Lytechinus pictus: one gene and its partner. The protein of the gene in region 2 purifies or fractionates together with the protein of the main gene of each other region. This does not show direct contact. Links are inferred from orthologs where the notes say so. Each region holds a gene or a part of one and is shown on either strand. Other genes may lie near its edges.

Region 1 (7,597 bases), on a different chromosome or scaffold from region 2:
GGCGTTTTTCGCCGTCATCCGTCTTAACATCAGATGTTCGCTAATATAATCTCAATATTACTAAAAAGTTAGGCCAAGGGTCTAACTCTGAATTATGCTTATGCCTGCGAGAAGTTATGAAATGCATACCGTACATGATTCAAAATCTATTGACTGATTGTTTTCTGGGACAATCTCAATACTAAAATTTTTATTTTAATTTTAGTTCCAAACTTGTTACAAGATCGATCGCTATCTCATATAGTGCTGCCACCATACGGATATCCGAACGGTTTCCGCCCGCGTGGACGGATAACGGTTTTCATTTTTCAGGTTCGGGTATCCGTGGACACTGATTCACCACTTTCCTGTCACAAAAACTCATTAAATTTAGTAAGACTCACCAACAAAATTTATAAGTTTTAGTCGCCAATATAATCACCAATATCAATTAATCTTCTTCGGTAATATATTCCCGCCGAAAACCATCATTTTTATATCAGTTTTGAAACATGACCTTATATCAGTTTTGGAGCATGACCGTCCGTGAATGGAGTAAAGTTCCGTTCTGACAACGATGGCTATTTTACTATGGTGTCGCTTAAGATCGTTTTTCTTTCCCCGTCTTATGTTTTGATGATTTCAAATGCGTAACTCATCGTATATTTTCTTACCTCGACTTTCAATGCGAGTGAAGAATGCAGATAATTTGAAACCATTTAAGCGTCAAATAAATGTTGATCGTGTAAATCGGGTGTGTCATGTTGTTTCTTGTAATTTATTCATCAAATGCAAAATGAATTCTACTTTTTCTCATAGCAACTTTGGTTACCAATGAAGATGATTATTTTTGAAACTATGAAAAGTTGAAAACGTCGAATGAATGTTGATTGCGTGTGTCATGTTGTTTCTTGTAATTTATTCATCAAGTGCAAAATGAATTCTGCTTTTTCTCACACCAACTTTGGTTACAAATGAAGATGATTATTTTTGAAACTATGAAAAGTTGAAAACGTGGAATAAATGTTGATTGCGTGTGTCATGTTGTTTTTGTGATTTGATAATGGCGGACTTTGTGATGAATGATAATGAGAGTGAAACTGAAATGAATGACGATGATGAGTGATGGCTAGTGAAAATGATTTTAAATGATTATCAAGATTGGTGAAGATGATAGCGATGAATGATGAGAATTATGAAAGAATGATAATTGTCAATTGAAAATCTTTCATGAATTAATATTTAATATATAAATTACAAAACACACATTTTCCTTTATTTCAGTTTAAATGGCATATCCACTATAAATTTTGATATCCATCATCACGTAAACAACAATACTTATAAGGCGGTATCGTGCCAGAAAGGTTTATGATGTGTGCCCGCCGAGTATGTGGTCGGTTGTGAATTGACGTGTTTTGCAGTAAAACTTACTGGTGATGAATGTAAGTGATTAGTTACTGTTACTGTAATTAAATCTTGTCTTGAATCTTTGTTAGAAGTGTGATTATGTTTCAGAAGTTGAGAAATGATAAGCTTGGCTATAATTTGGGGAATGGGGAGAAACCCGACATGAAAATGAAAATATTCCAAGTACGATCCCATTTGAAGGTGTAGCGAGTGTAATGTGACCAAATATATATCGGACGATTCAGTCCAGACACGTCCAGACAGGACAGCACGTGCGTGAGCTGAATGATGTAGGCCTGTCTGGTTTTAGACTTTTAGTAATAGTAGACTCGCACTTACACTCGCCTCGGTCAAATTCATTGCATCTTATTTCATTCGATCGGAACTAAAAAATAAACACACATACTCTCGCAACCATTAAATGGGATCGTAACTAGGCCCGACTTGTATAACTCAAATAATAGTCATTTACTAATAGCTTAGGGCCTACACAGTCATACGATCTACATTTGTAGCCGTAGCCTCACGCTAACTCACATTAGTCAAATCCGATTGCAAAACAGATTCAACCCAAAATATTCAGCTTCTCGTAATTTCGTGGTTTTCAGAAATATCTTAATTAGCGCACGCTGACTCTCGCCATCATCGAATAGGTTCAAAACTCAAATATAACTGAAAATCTTAAATATAACTCAAATAAGTGCAAATGGATATTATTTTTTATATTTCAGTTTCAGTCCTTTCAGTTTGCATAGCTGTTACGTTACATCTTTTTTTAAAATTGCTTTAGCTGCATACATAAGTTGTTGAAATGTTATTTTTGCATGATTTCGGATTATCTCTGGTGGGCGTTTCATGAAGCTGTTCGTAAGAGTAAGACAAGAGCGGCTTTAAGAATGACTAGTGATCCTTTCTTATGGTATATTCATTGGCGATAGTTTTTAGTGCGTACAAAAGGATCACCAGTCGTTCATAAATTAAGTTACAGACGCTCTTAGTCTTAGACTTAAGTCTTAACATGCTTAACTTACATACAAACGGCCCCCTGTTCTCATGTCATGGTTCTGTCAACTTCTGAATCTGATACAATTACAATTTGTCTGCTATTCTATGTTCACAGTGTAATTTGATTTGTGTATAATCACAGCTGCAAGTTTGTTTTATATTTTCTTGATTATGTATGAATTTTATGTGAATGAATGACAAAGATTACTTCAAAACAAAAATCTCGCTCTCACTCAGTAAAGTCTCAGCTCCAATCTCGATCCACACACAATTAAGGCACGCGGTATACAATGCTGTGCGCGCGTGCATGCACTGCACTGCGAGTTCAGGCATTTCAAATCAGGTTGCAACATTATCGAACACACTAAATACATGTAAATTACATGTACCGTCATCACCATCCAACCACCATCCATGTCAGTAATAATAAGTACAACTTTGATTCGCAAATATGTATGCGAAATCAACGATATTATAAACAGTGCACACAAAAATCGACAAATTGTGAATTGAATTACCCTTGTCCTCGCGACTGGTGAATGGGCTCTCTGCATAAAAAAAAGGTAACGTTAAACAACGACGCCGCGATTTTGATCGATATATAGCCGATGTGATCCGAAGGACGATCCGAAGCTAAGCTCGGAAAACTTCGGGTTTGTGTTTACATGAAGTCGAAGTCTAAGTCGAGAATAGTCTATTAATACAAACATTTTTCAAATTTAGAAATGAAACAATCTGTTCCGATACACATTAAGTTATCCCTATATAATAAATTTGTTTTAATGATATTTTTTTTAATTGTATTTTCAACACTACAATTGAATCCTCATTAGCTGCACATATGTGAAAAAAATCATAAGCAGGATTGTACAAAAAAGCCCCTCCCCCTTATTCTTTATAGTTTTATCATGGACCTACTGTCTCCCCCCCCCCTCTCTCTCTTCCTGCACCTCTCTTTTTCTCTCACTTTTGCTACTTTTGAAGACTAAACATTTATGTATGATCCACCACAACAAAAAGCTGATTTGAATAAAAAGAGAAAAGCCAACAAGCATAGCCAAACATTAAGCAAACGTCATCAAAATCAGATGTAAAATAAGAAAGTTTTGACATAAAAAAAAAGTTTCACTTAATTTAAAAAAACAGTTGTATGCACATCCTGGTTGGTATATGCAAATGAGGAGACTGATGACGTCATCCACTCACTATTTCTTTTGTTTTTTATTATATGATATCTGAAATGTTCTTATTTTCTCCTCATTGACAAATCAGTGAAACAATCAATTGTCAAATCTGTAAAAGAGAAAAAATGTTGTATAATTCAAATAACAAAAGAAATGGTGAGGGACATCATCGTCTGTCTCATTTGCATGTCACTGAGTTTTGCATACTATTGCTGTTTTGTGAAAAATAAGGGAAACTTTAAAATGTCATAACTTTTTTATTTTACATCCGATTTTGATGAAATTTTCAGCGTTATGCAAGTTTGATTTTTCTCTATTTCCTAAAGCAACATTTTCTGGAGTGGATTTGACCTTTAAAAAAATAAAGGGAGAAAAGCAAAAGAACAAAAAACCCTGAAAATTACTTTGTTTTCAGACTTTTTTCTATTAAAATATTGTTTAAGTCATATGATTAAAAGTTGATTATTTCCATGTATATAACATTTTTTAATACAGTTCATCTTTCAATCTATTCAGAAAGGCACAAATTCTGAATATTCATATGACAGGCATTTAAAGAGCTCTTCATTGGGATTACTTTTCACTACAACTCTCAATGAGAAGTTGACATAATTGTTATCCCATTCTGTTACCTACAGCATCAACTTTCAGGTAAAAGTAACCAAAGAAAGTATATCAATCTAGTATGCTCTAAATCTATCAGTGTGGAAAAATAGGCATTAATTTCCTAGAAATATAATAAAGACCACAATTCCCTTATTCTAAAATCCAAAAGAGCCTAGTCAGGAGACTTTCTTTGCCTATTCTTTCCATCATTTTGTGACAACCTTTTTATATCAAACAGTAGGCATAGGCCTAATGATAACATACCATTTTTAAAATAACATTTACTCTCATATAAAGCCTTAGTTCCAATATATTAGTGACAATTTTCCTTTTACCAACCCTTTACTTGCAATAAATTCAGTTTATTCATAACTCATTGTATCTGTTTTGTTAAGCCATTAAGAACTATGGCAGAATATGTCAGCTTACAGCACAAGTTGTTTACCAATAGTATATCTTTAAAAAAAATGTGACTCTTGAAACTGTTTGTTACAAATGCAGCCACTTTTTCAGTTGCAGAAATATGAGGTATTGAAGCTCAATAGACGCATGATATTCTTACTACTAGAAAGGTGATAAAAGTAAGGTTGTTGGTCTCGAACCTAATCGATACAAACTGTAAGATCAGGGCCCCTTCATACAAAGAGTTACGATTGATCCAATCAATCGTAACTCTATGGAAATTCTTCAGTGTCATAATTTTTTCTACATAAAATTTTCAAAATGTCCTTTTGTAAACAAAGGCGAACATACCAAATTGTCAATAAAACAATTAATTTATGTAAATTTACGTCATATGTAGAAAACATTTTGAACGTTCATGCATTTTAGATGTTGACGTTGCTGGCCGTCCATAGTTGTGATTGATCGGATCAATCGCAACTCTTTGTAAGACGGGCCCCAGGTTGTCCGCATTCTAAAAGTAGTGAAAAATATGGATAATCCATCAATTTCATATAGGAAATGTACATGTACATCTGTCCTTTTAAAAACAACGAAGAGCACAAGGATTTTTCACATAACGATGCATGCATGAGTATTTAAAAACACTTTGAACTGACATGTGCATTCTAGATTCATGCCATTCAATTGGCTTTCCATCCTTGTGATTGATAAAACAATCATAAATCTATGTAAGAACACGCCATCTGCAACAATTTATAAACTTTATTATGTTATCATCAGTGACCCATTCAGAACAAGATTACTAATTTTTTAATTCTTGAAATTGGTATATTTCTATTTTTGCTACATTTTTTTATTAAAAAGAATATAAAAGTGCCTCTGAGGGTTTAAATTTTATCAATCTGCATAAAAGCAGTAATTTTGAAGTTTCCATCGCCTAATCATGACACATTTTGTGTTTTATTTTCCTTTAAAACACTGATTAAAAGATGCTGATGCAATAAATGAGGCCTTTTTTATTAGTACACTTTGATAAAATCAATTTTCTAAATGTTGGAAATTCAAGAAAAAAAAAATCAACCTTTTTGTATAATCCAGTTTTCCTCTTTAACTGCACTTAAAACCATTATAATTCAAACTAGAAAACATGTAATAATTTCAAGAATGTCCCATATGTAGGGGGTCAAACATGCAACAACAGAGGTAAAACCAAATGGCAACACCGGAATAATCAAAATAAGATCAAGCAAACATCCACTTTATGACACCTCACCGTCAGGCTGATGAATCTTAAATTATTCATAATAAAAAAATGAATTAATTTCAGTCAATGGAGAAAAATTGAATTTCTCTCACTCTCATATAACAAAGTATATTAGAGTTGTACAAAGGACATATCACCAATTATCTAAAATATTCTTCACTCGCAACATATATGATTGACCTGGAAAAGAAATTGCGTACTATACATGCATATTTCTCACTACAATTGATTGAAAATATTTATAGATTGTGCCAATATAAGAAAATAATTCATAAATGCCTGGATATTAAAAGTTAACAGCCTACTTTGATAAACATATACAAATATGGTTCAGCACAATATATCATTAAAACAGCTGTTTTAATGTTAAGAAAGTAAAAATTACACCTAGAATTTCATACTACCAAAATGTACAAAAGAAGCATTAAATAATACAGGTGTATATTTTTTTAAAATGATGAATGTCTCTGGGTATTACACTTAATAAAATAAATAAACTTGATAAATCAAAAATAAAAGTGTAGGCTGTGATGTTTATGGGGGAAATAAAATGAAATCAAAATGATTTAGGATCAAAGAATAGTCAGTCACAAGATATTTAGAAATAATTTTGAAGTAAAAATATAGGGGAAAATCTAATAAAGATGTTGCATGATGAGAACAAAAAAAAGCAAATATATGTATGAAGGATAAGTAAAAGAATATTTAAAATGAATTTTATTTTACTATCATAAGTAAATGCAAAAGTAGAAGGAACAGAAAGAAAGCACAGGGTCAGAATTTGGCAATACGAAATCAAATGATACAAGAATACATTGACTTGCTGGAAAGGATTACTATGCCACAACAATATCCTATCATATATCTTACACAAGTATCATATAAAGCAAATCACTGCAGATTGCTCAATACAGATAGCAATTAAGCAACAATAACATCAAGTGACAATATCAAATTCAATATTGCAATAAAATTAAATGCTACAGATGTAAATTTTAACTAATATTGCTCAGTTAGCAAAACTAAATTTTGTTTAATAGCACCTACGATAAATAGACAAGTATTTGTATTAAGCAAGATAATTCTCTATGCACTTTATTGCAATAAATATAATGTATTAATTTTGCTTATATACAGCTATTGTTACAACTTAAGGAAATAATGTATGTAAAATACTAGTAATAATATCATCAATATATATTCAATATCTTTCCACTCAATGGCATTTTGATACAGCGTTTAAGAACACTTCGATTACTTGCACATTCATTACCCCTTTATTCACAATTCCTTCATAGTGAAGACAATCAAATAATGTTAGTTATTATAGACATGTATTACATGGACTAAAATTAAATGCTCAAAAATTAATAAATAAATAAAAACATCAACATTGAGGCTCACTGTGAGACCAGCATCATACATCCAAAGACTCATCATCTTTCAATTAAAAAGCATTGACTGGTCCTAAAGAAAGCATATCAAACAGAAATCAAATCTAAACCCACAATCAAAAATTGGGCACCAACACAATGGATTCTTTTCTAAATTTCAAGAGAGTGTTTTGATTTTCTGCATCCTAGCCAAAGTAAATTGTTCAACGGACCATTTTCAAAAGAAACAAGGAATGACAATCCCCCCCCCCCCATTTATTTAGTTCTTATTTATGGAGGTTCCCATATTAATCTCTGCTTCCAAAGTAAGCACAACCATGTACCTCTCTCATAGATCTATTGAATGGATA
Region 2 (7,160 bases):
AAGATATTGATATCAGATATTTTTAATATGTTCAGTTTTTTGAAAATTGGATCAGTATGGGCTAAGTAAGGAGAACCTGTGCAAATTCTTATGGCTCTTTTCTGCAGTAGCAATAAGGAATTAACATTTCTTTTGGTTCCACAACCCCACGCAATATTAGCATAAGATAAATAAGATAATATAAAAGAATTGTACAATAGTATAATAGACTTTGGCATTAACGTATCTTTAAGTTTAAACATTATACCAATAAATCTAGAAATATGAGTTCTTAGATGCTGAAAATGCAAATTCCAATTTAAATGTTGATCGAGAACAACGCCAAGAAATTTAACATTAGTTTTCCTTTCAATTAGGGTATTGTCTATTAAGATTTGGCACTGGTCTTCCATAATCTTTTTTATTGGGTTGTGAAATATAATATAATTGGTTTTACTGAGGTTTAGAGATAACTTATTACATTGTAGCCAGTTGGTTAGTTTACGTAATTCTACATTGATAGTGACGATCATTTTATTAAAATCATGATGGGAATATAACAGTGTCGTATCATCTGCAAATAACACATAGCTAAGCATTTTGGAAGAATTTACAATGTCGTTCATATATATTATAAAAAGAAGCGGCCCAAGAATGGATCCTTGTGGGACGCCACACTGGAGTTCTAAAATTTGTGATACATTTAAGTCGACCTCAGTGTATTGAATTCTGTTCTTTAAATAATCTTTGAACCATGCAAGAGGCGTACCCCTTATACCATATAACGTTCAAGTTTATGTATTAATATTGAATGATCAAGCGTGTCGAACGCTTTTGAAAGGTCCAAAAATAATCCAGTTATATATTGTTTTTTTGCAAGGGATTTGGTTATTCTATCATATAAGTCCAAAACTGCTAATTCAGTTGAATGTTGTCTCCTAAAACCATATTGGGCGGTGCAAAGTAATTTGTTTTTGTCTAAAAAAATATATACCTGGATATGGATTATTCTTTCTAAGATTTTAGATAAAGAGGGTAAGATAGATATAGGTCGGTAATTTTCACATTGGATACGATTTCCCTTTTTGAATATTGGTACGACCCGTGCTAATTTGAAAGAATTCGGATAGCATCCAAGAGACAATGATAAGTTGAAAATATGACATAGTGGTTCAGCTATAAAAAAGATTATTTGTTTTAAGATAAGTGAGTTAATATCGTCATGACCACAAGTTTTGGTATTTTTAAGGGATTTTACTATGGATATAACTTCGTGTGGTCTTACGGGTTTGAAAAATATCGAGTTTTCAGCTCGATCAGGTAAAAAATCTTTAAAAGAGTGCTCATTAGTTATAAAAGTTTTTGATAACGTTGGCCCTATGTTTACAAAATATTTGTTTAAGATGTTTACAATTTTCTGTGGGTCACGTGTCTTTTCTTTTTCAGAGTACATTTCTTTTGTGAATTCTGTTCTTTTGCCCCTACCTAAGATATTGTTTAAGATGGACCAGGTAGCAGACATATTTCCCGATACTCTTTTAAGTTTATTTGTATAATACATTTTGCGTGATGCTCTAATAACGGCTGTTAGTTTGTTACGATAAGCCTTAAATATGTTATGTTGGACGGTATTGCTAGGATTGCGTATATACAACTTATATAATCGGTTCTTTTTTCGGATAGAATTCATTATCGCATTAGTAATCCAGGGATTATGAATATTATTTTTTCTTTTCTTTTTGAGCAAACAAGGTATATTTTTATCATAATATTCCTTAAATTTTTGAAGAAAAAGTTCATATGCTATGTTCACGTCATGTGTTTCTTGAAATACATCTGACCAAGTTTCTATTATAAGGTCGATTTTAAGGGAGTTTATATTTTCGATTGAATATTGTCTATTAAAATATTCATTAGATTCACATCGTTTCCCTTGTGTTTTTCTTGATATTGTAAAAATAGGAAGGTGATCTGATATATCAGAATATAAAATACCACTTTGGAAATCTTCTCTTACAACATTTGTGAAAATGTTATCTAAAAGCGTTGCGGATGCCGGGGATACTCTGGTAGGCTTATCTATTAATGGATAGAGGGCGTAACTATTCAGAAACGACATGAATGTATTATAAGTCTGGTCGTTTTTTGTAAGTAAGTTTACATTAAAGTCGCCCATTAGATAAATATGTTTACCACCTTTCGAAAAATTACTGATACATGATTCTAATTGAAGAGTGAATGATTCAATATTCGTACCGGGTGGACGATACGCTACACCTACAATTACATTTTTACATTTGACATTGGTAATTTCTACAAAAAGCATCTCAAAGTCTGGTGATTCGGACAGAGGGGTCGTTAATTGAAAGGAAATATCTTCTTTTACATATAATACTACGCCTCCTCCACGTCCGTGTAATCTGTCCGACCGTAACATCTGATAACCTTCTAAATTGAATAAAGAAGGAGAATTAGGGTTTAACCATGATTCACTTACTCCAATGATGGATAGCGAATTGTTCAGGGATTTAAGTAGATTAGATACACTGTCAAAGTTGCGACTTAAACTCCGGGCATTTAAATGTAGTAAGCTGAAATAAGACTTGTTGTTATTATGACAGGAATTAAACTCATCGGGTAAATAATAGTGGCATTCATTAGATTTGAGTTCTTCTTCAGAAAAAGACATGTTTAAAGACTCAACCATCTAAGGATTTACATTGTTCGTTTATGCAGTACACTACTATCGTTAAGACACTGGCATTGATATCTAAAGACATGTTCTTAAAGTGGAAATGGCAATTGTTACAATATGACTTTGAGAGACTAAATACGCAGGAAAAACATATACAAAAGCCCATTAAAGATCTAATATAGAATATGTACACACTATAAGCAAAGATCTAAACAATATAATGGTGTATAATAATGAAATAGAATATAAAAGTATAAAACAATTACTATATATTATTTAGCGCATAAACAATTCGGATAATCTGGAGGAAAATTCGTCAATTTTAGGTTTGCCTTCAGCAAATATATAGACACATGATAATATAATAATGTAAGTATGCATATATCAATGGTATGTTGATAGGCATTGGATACAGACAGTAATTTAACCCATAAATTTATCGGGTTGAAGTTGTATTGAGACATACAAAGAGTTATTCAAATGCAGAATATAAAATTACAATCTTTATGATTATGTATACTAGTATATATATATATTAATGTTGAGTTACAATACAATGTGGTTTGATTTAAACAACAGTTTCGTAAATATTATAGAAGGGTATTTAATATAACACAGTTTTTCAGGATCTACTAAAATTGCCCATATGGAATAGACAAACTGTAGCGTTAATAGAGTTTATAAGGCAAGAAGGTCACTTTCTCTGAAGATTTGTTTCTTCATTGAAGTGTTAGGATCTGTCGTTTTAACCGAGGCGATAATACGGCCATCACTTGTCCATGCCGCGTTTACATTTTTGTGTTGGCTTGTCTTCTTGAGGAGTTTGAGGGTTGTCAGTGTCAAATCTTCTTGAATAGAAATTCCACTCCCTTTCAATGTCTTTTTCGCTTTCATAAATTGCGTCTTCTGTTTGTAGGAACACAATTTAACGATGATGGGTTTAGCCTTGGTTGGATCTTTTTGACCTACTCGATGGGATCGATCGATGTGGTGTTTTTTCAACTTGAACCCAAGCTGATCCTTGGCAATGTCAATTGCTATTTGATCGGTATCTTCACCTATTTTCTCTTTCACACCAAAAATTCTAATGCTGTTTCTCCTTGTATACTGCTCGAGAATATTCAATTGGCGCTCCACGTCTTCTCTTTTCTCGATTTCATTCTGTAGCTGTTTCTCCAGAATATATGTTTCTTTCTCTTTACTCTCCAAAGAATTTTGAAGTTGAATGATGGCTGATTCATTTTCTTCTATGTGGCGACGCATGTTTTCACATTGAACATTCACTACTTTATCCATTGTTTCTTTACAGACACTACAGTCTCCAGTGTTTTCATGAATTCTTTTGTTTTGAGTAATTTAGTGAGAATTGTTTGAAGGTGATAATCATCATTAGGTGAATGTTCAGACATATCAATCGTAACAGTGTCATCAGCTATATCACATTCAGAATCATTTGGATTGGTATGTTTCACCTTTTTCTTGCTTTTAGGGGTGCGCTTCACTCTGGCGCCATCCCCCTTACCCGCCATGATCGGACACCGAAGCGAACGTAAGGCTTAGGCGGGAACAGTATACACACGGATATATGTGACGATCAAAAGTACATATGGGACTGAGAGAATATATATAGTTACGTTCAAATGCTGATCGTTCGGCAATGCAGATTTGCTGTTTCTCCCTCCAGATCAGTCCAATAACGAAAATTTTGTGGCAATTACATCACGAAAACATAGGTGTTTACAATCACAATTAAGTCAAGTCATAAAAAATAGAAAAGAAATCAGTATCTTCTTGCAAATCTTGGCAATAATCTCAGGACGCCAAGACCACGTCACATCACGTCTATCTATCCGCTGTCTATTTCTTTTTGCCAAAATAAGAAAAAATCAATCAAGTTTAGTTATTCAAATCCATAACAACAACAAGAATAACATGAAAAAAACATCCGATGTTCATATCCGAAGATACGCTTTAGAGAGAAATGAATGATTATTCTTTTTGAAACCATTAATTGATTTCAATTATTAAAAAATTGTTAAAATATGATCATATTACCACTGGTGGGATGGAACACCCTATTAACAAAAGTTGTTTTTCGTCGGGGTCCTTTTATGTCATGTGTTAAAAAATATCATATACATAAACATTTCATTCATTTTCATCTTGAACCTCCACCCATCTGTTAAGTCCTGGAAAAGAATGTTTTTATTTAATAACAATATACACAAATTGCGAGGGAAACAAAAGGATTGATGGCATACTATAATCATCACTATAATCATCGATCATGATCAAACTTTTCATTTTTTCATCATCATTATTATAAATTTTCTACCCTAAATTATTGGGGGGGGGGGGATGATAATACAGGCCATCCCCCCCACTTGAAATATTGGGGGGGATATATCCCCCCATCCCCCCCGTGATCGACACCCATGTCTGTTATGATGTTATCAGCAAATCATTACACTTCTTCTCTTTTTTCTTCTACTAAAAAAAATAAAATTATGAATACTAGTATGCGAAAACCGAAGGTCTGTACCCGAAGACTACACCCATGCTCCTGTAATGTAAACTACGTGATCAAAGATGGCAGCGCCATGTGGACAATCGCCGCACAGCGTCGAAATTCATTTTGCTCAGAGACTTGCTTCAAATGAAAAGAAAATACGTGACAGGGCAATCAAACGATTGAGACACTGGATAGCTGCAAGATCTCAAAAGGATGGCAGTAAGTATGGGGTACTGTTGGAGAATTTCAACGAATCAGCTTGCATTAATTTTTTTTGCACGGTCCCATTCGTTCGTTTTCGTGGGAGGTCTTGTTGCCCCAAATAAATAAGAGTATAAAGACGTGCCAGGACACTTAGATCTAGGCCTAAGCATAATCATGAGCTAGACCAGGGGCAGCGGAACTGGGGGTGGGAAAGGGGGGGGGGGGGCAAGTGCCCCCCAAAATATTCCCTGTAGACTGTAGTAGGAAAAAATTCCCTTTTTGTAGCAATGTAGGTATGTGCGAATACGGGCGCATCGCGAGCGCTGGTTTTGGCTGCACGGTTTTCGCGCGGGTTTCGCTGCAAGTGGCATCGCCTCTGTCTGGGAGGCTCATCAAAAATGGGGTTTCATGCGCATGCGCACATAGTTGATGCAATCTCGTGCCTTGATACAGACAGTTGAAAATGTGCTCTTTCTGTACATATAAGTTTCAATGTGGATACTCGCCTGTGATTTGAAGTGTGGATATCGGAGCTTGAAAGTTCATCAAATTTTTGGATGCGCAAATGATCGAAATTTTTTAATGGTAAGTAGAACTACGATCCAATTATGTATCTGAATTGTTATAGAATATATTCAAATCAACAAAAAAATTAAAATTAAATTAAAAGATTCTATCGTTGAGCTGTCCAGATATAAGAGAAGCGAGCTACCCTTGTCACAGCCGGTCTCTTGGCAGTCGAGCTACCCGATGCGGTGGGCTCCCTTGAACCTTGAAGGAATAATCCCTTAAGCAGCTCTTCCAAGCTAAACTGGGATGGGATGTGCTGTGAGTGTGACAGAAGGTGATGGTGCAGACAATTTTGTTGGAATTCTATTTACAATAAAATTGGTGAAGTGCAAGTAAAAATCATGCTCCTAGTGCTTACAGCATCCTGGAACCTACATGAGGCTTTAACCCTCTGATGACAGGAAGGGCAGCCCCCCGGAAGACAGCAACTGATGGGGCAGTAACTGCTTTAGCTGGTAGATGGTTCCAGATACGAATGGTACGGGGATAATATGAAAATTTGTATGCATCAATCGTTGCTTGTGGTACAGAGAGTTTTAGCATATGATCTCTTCTACTGATGTATGGAGCCTGGGTTATGAAGTGTGGAAGCTGGATATTCACAAACTGGTGGTATATCTGATAGAGCATGGTGCTTTGTGCAAGGATACGACGTGTGTGCAGCTGGTCCCATCCCAAATTTGAGACAAGTCCTGAGGCTGATGTAGATTTTCTATAGTCGCGGGTCACAAAGCGAGCAGCTGTTTTCTGTACCCTTTCCAGGCTTGCAGCCGTAGTAGAGGTGTGGGGATTCCAGGCTTCAGCACCATACTCAAGCTGCGGTCGAACCAAGGCCATATACGCATTTGATTTGGCCTTTTCAGAACAAGGTGAGAGAGTTCTTCTCAGCAACCCAAGGGTTTTGCTGGCCTTGTTCGCAATAAGTTGACAGTGCGTATTCCATCGGAGGTCTTTGGAGATGGTGACTCCGAGGTATTTGTATTGGTCGACCTTTGCTATTACCTCATTGGAAAGCCTGTAGTTGTGTTGTATGGGAGCTCGCTTCCTAGTAATGGTAAGGGAAGCACACTTCTTGACATTAAAAGCCATAAGCCACTTTGCTGACCAATCTGATAGGGTTTGAAGATCTTGCTGCAGGATGGAGACATCATGTGCTGTGTTGATATCTCGGTATATCACACTGTCGTCTGCAAAGAGGCG

The links. Proteins that work in one complex are often made in the same cells at the same time.
Region 1: the proteins of ribosomal RNA processing protein 1 homolog A-like (region 2) and serine/arginine-rich splicing factor 1B-like purify together in Homo sapiens (co-immunoprecipitation; 3 studies listed by BioGRID and IntAct, with this or other methods). This does not show direct contact. The link is inferred for Lytechinus pictus from reciprocal best matches to the Homo sapiens genes RRP1B and SRSF1.

Annotation. Positions count from the first base shown.
Region 1 is NC_087246.1:14,835,592-14,843,188, forward strand, and holds the start of serine/arginine-rich splicing factor 1B-like, read right to left. Parts: upstream 3,012-7,597; 5' UTR 2,913-3,011; intron 2,842-2,912; exon of another isoform or gene 2,421-2,841; intron 1-2,420. UniProt on the Homo sapiens protein: Plays a role in preventing exon skipping, ensuring the accuracy of splicing and regulating alternative splicing.
Region 2 is NC_087252.1:14,096,347-14,103,506, reverse strand, and holds the start of ribosomal RNA processing protein 1 homolog A-like, read left to right. Parts: upstream 1-4,076; 5' UTR 4,077-4,135; intron 4,136-5,192; 5' UTR 5,193-5,263; coding exon 5,264-5,405; intron 5,406-7,160. UniProt on the Homo sapiens protein: Positively regulates DNA damage-induced apoptosis by acting as a transcriptional coactivator of proapoptotic target genes of the transcriptional activator E2F1.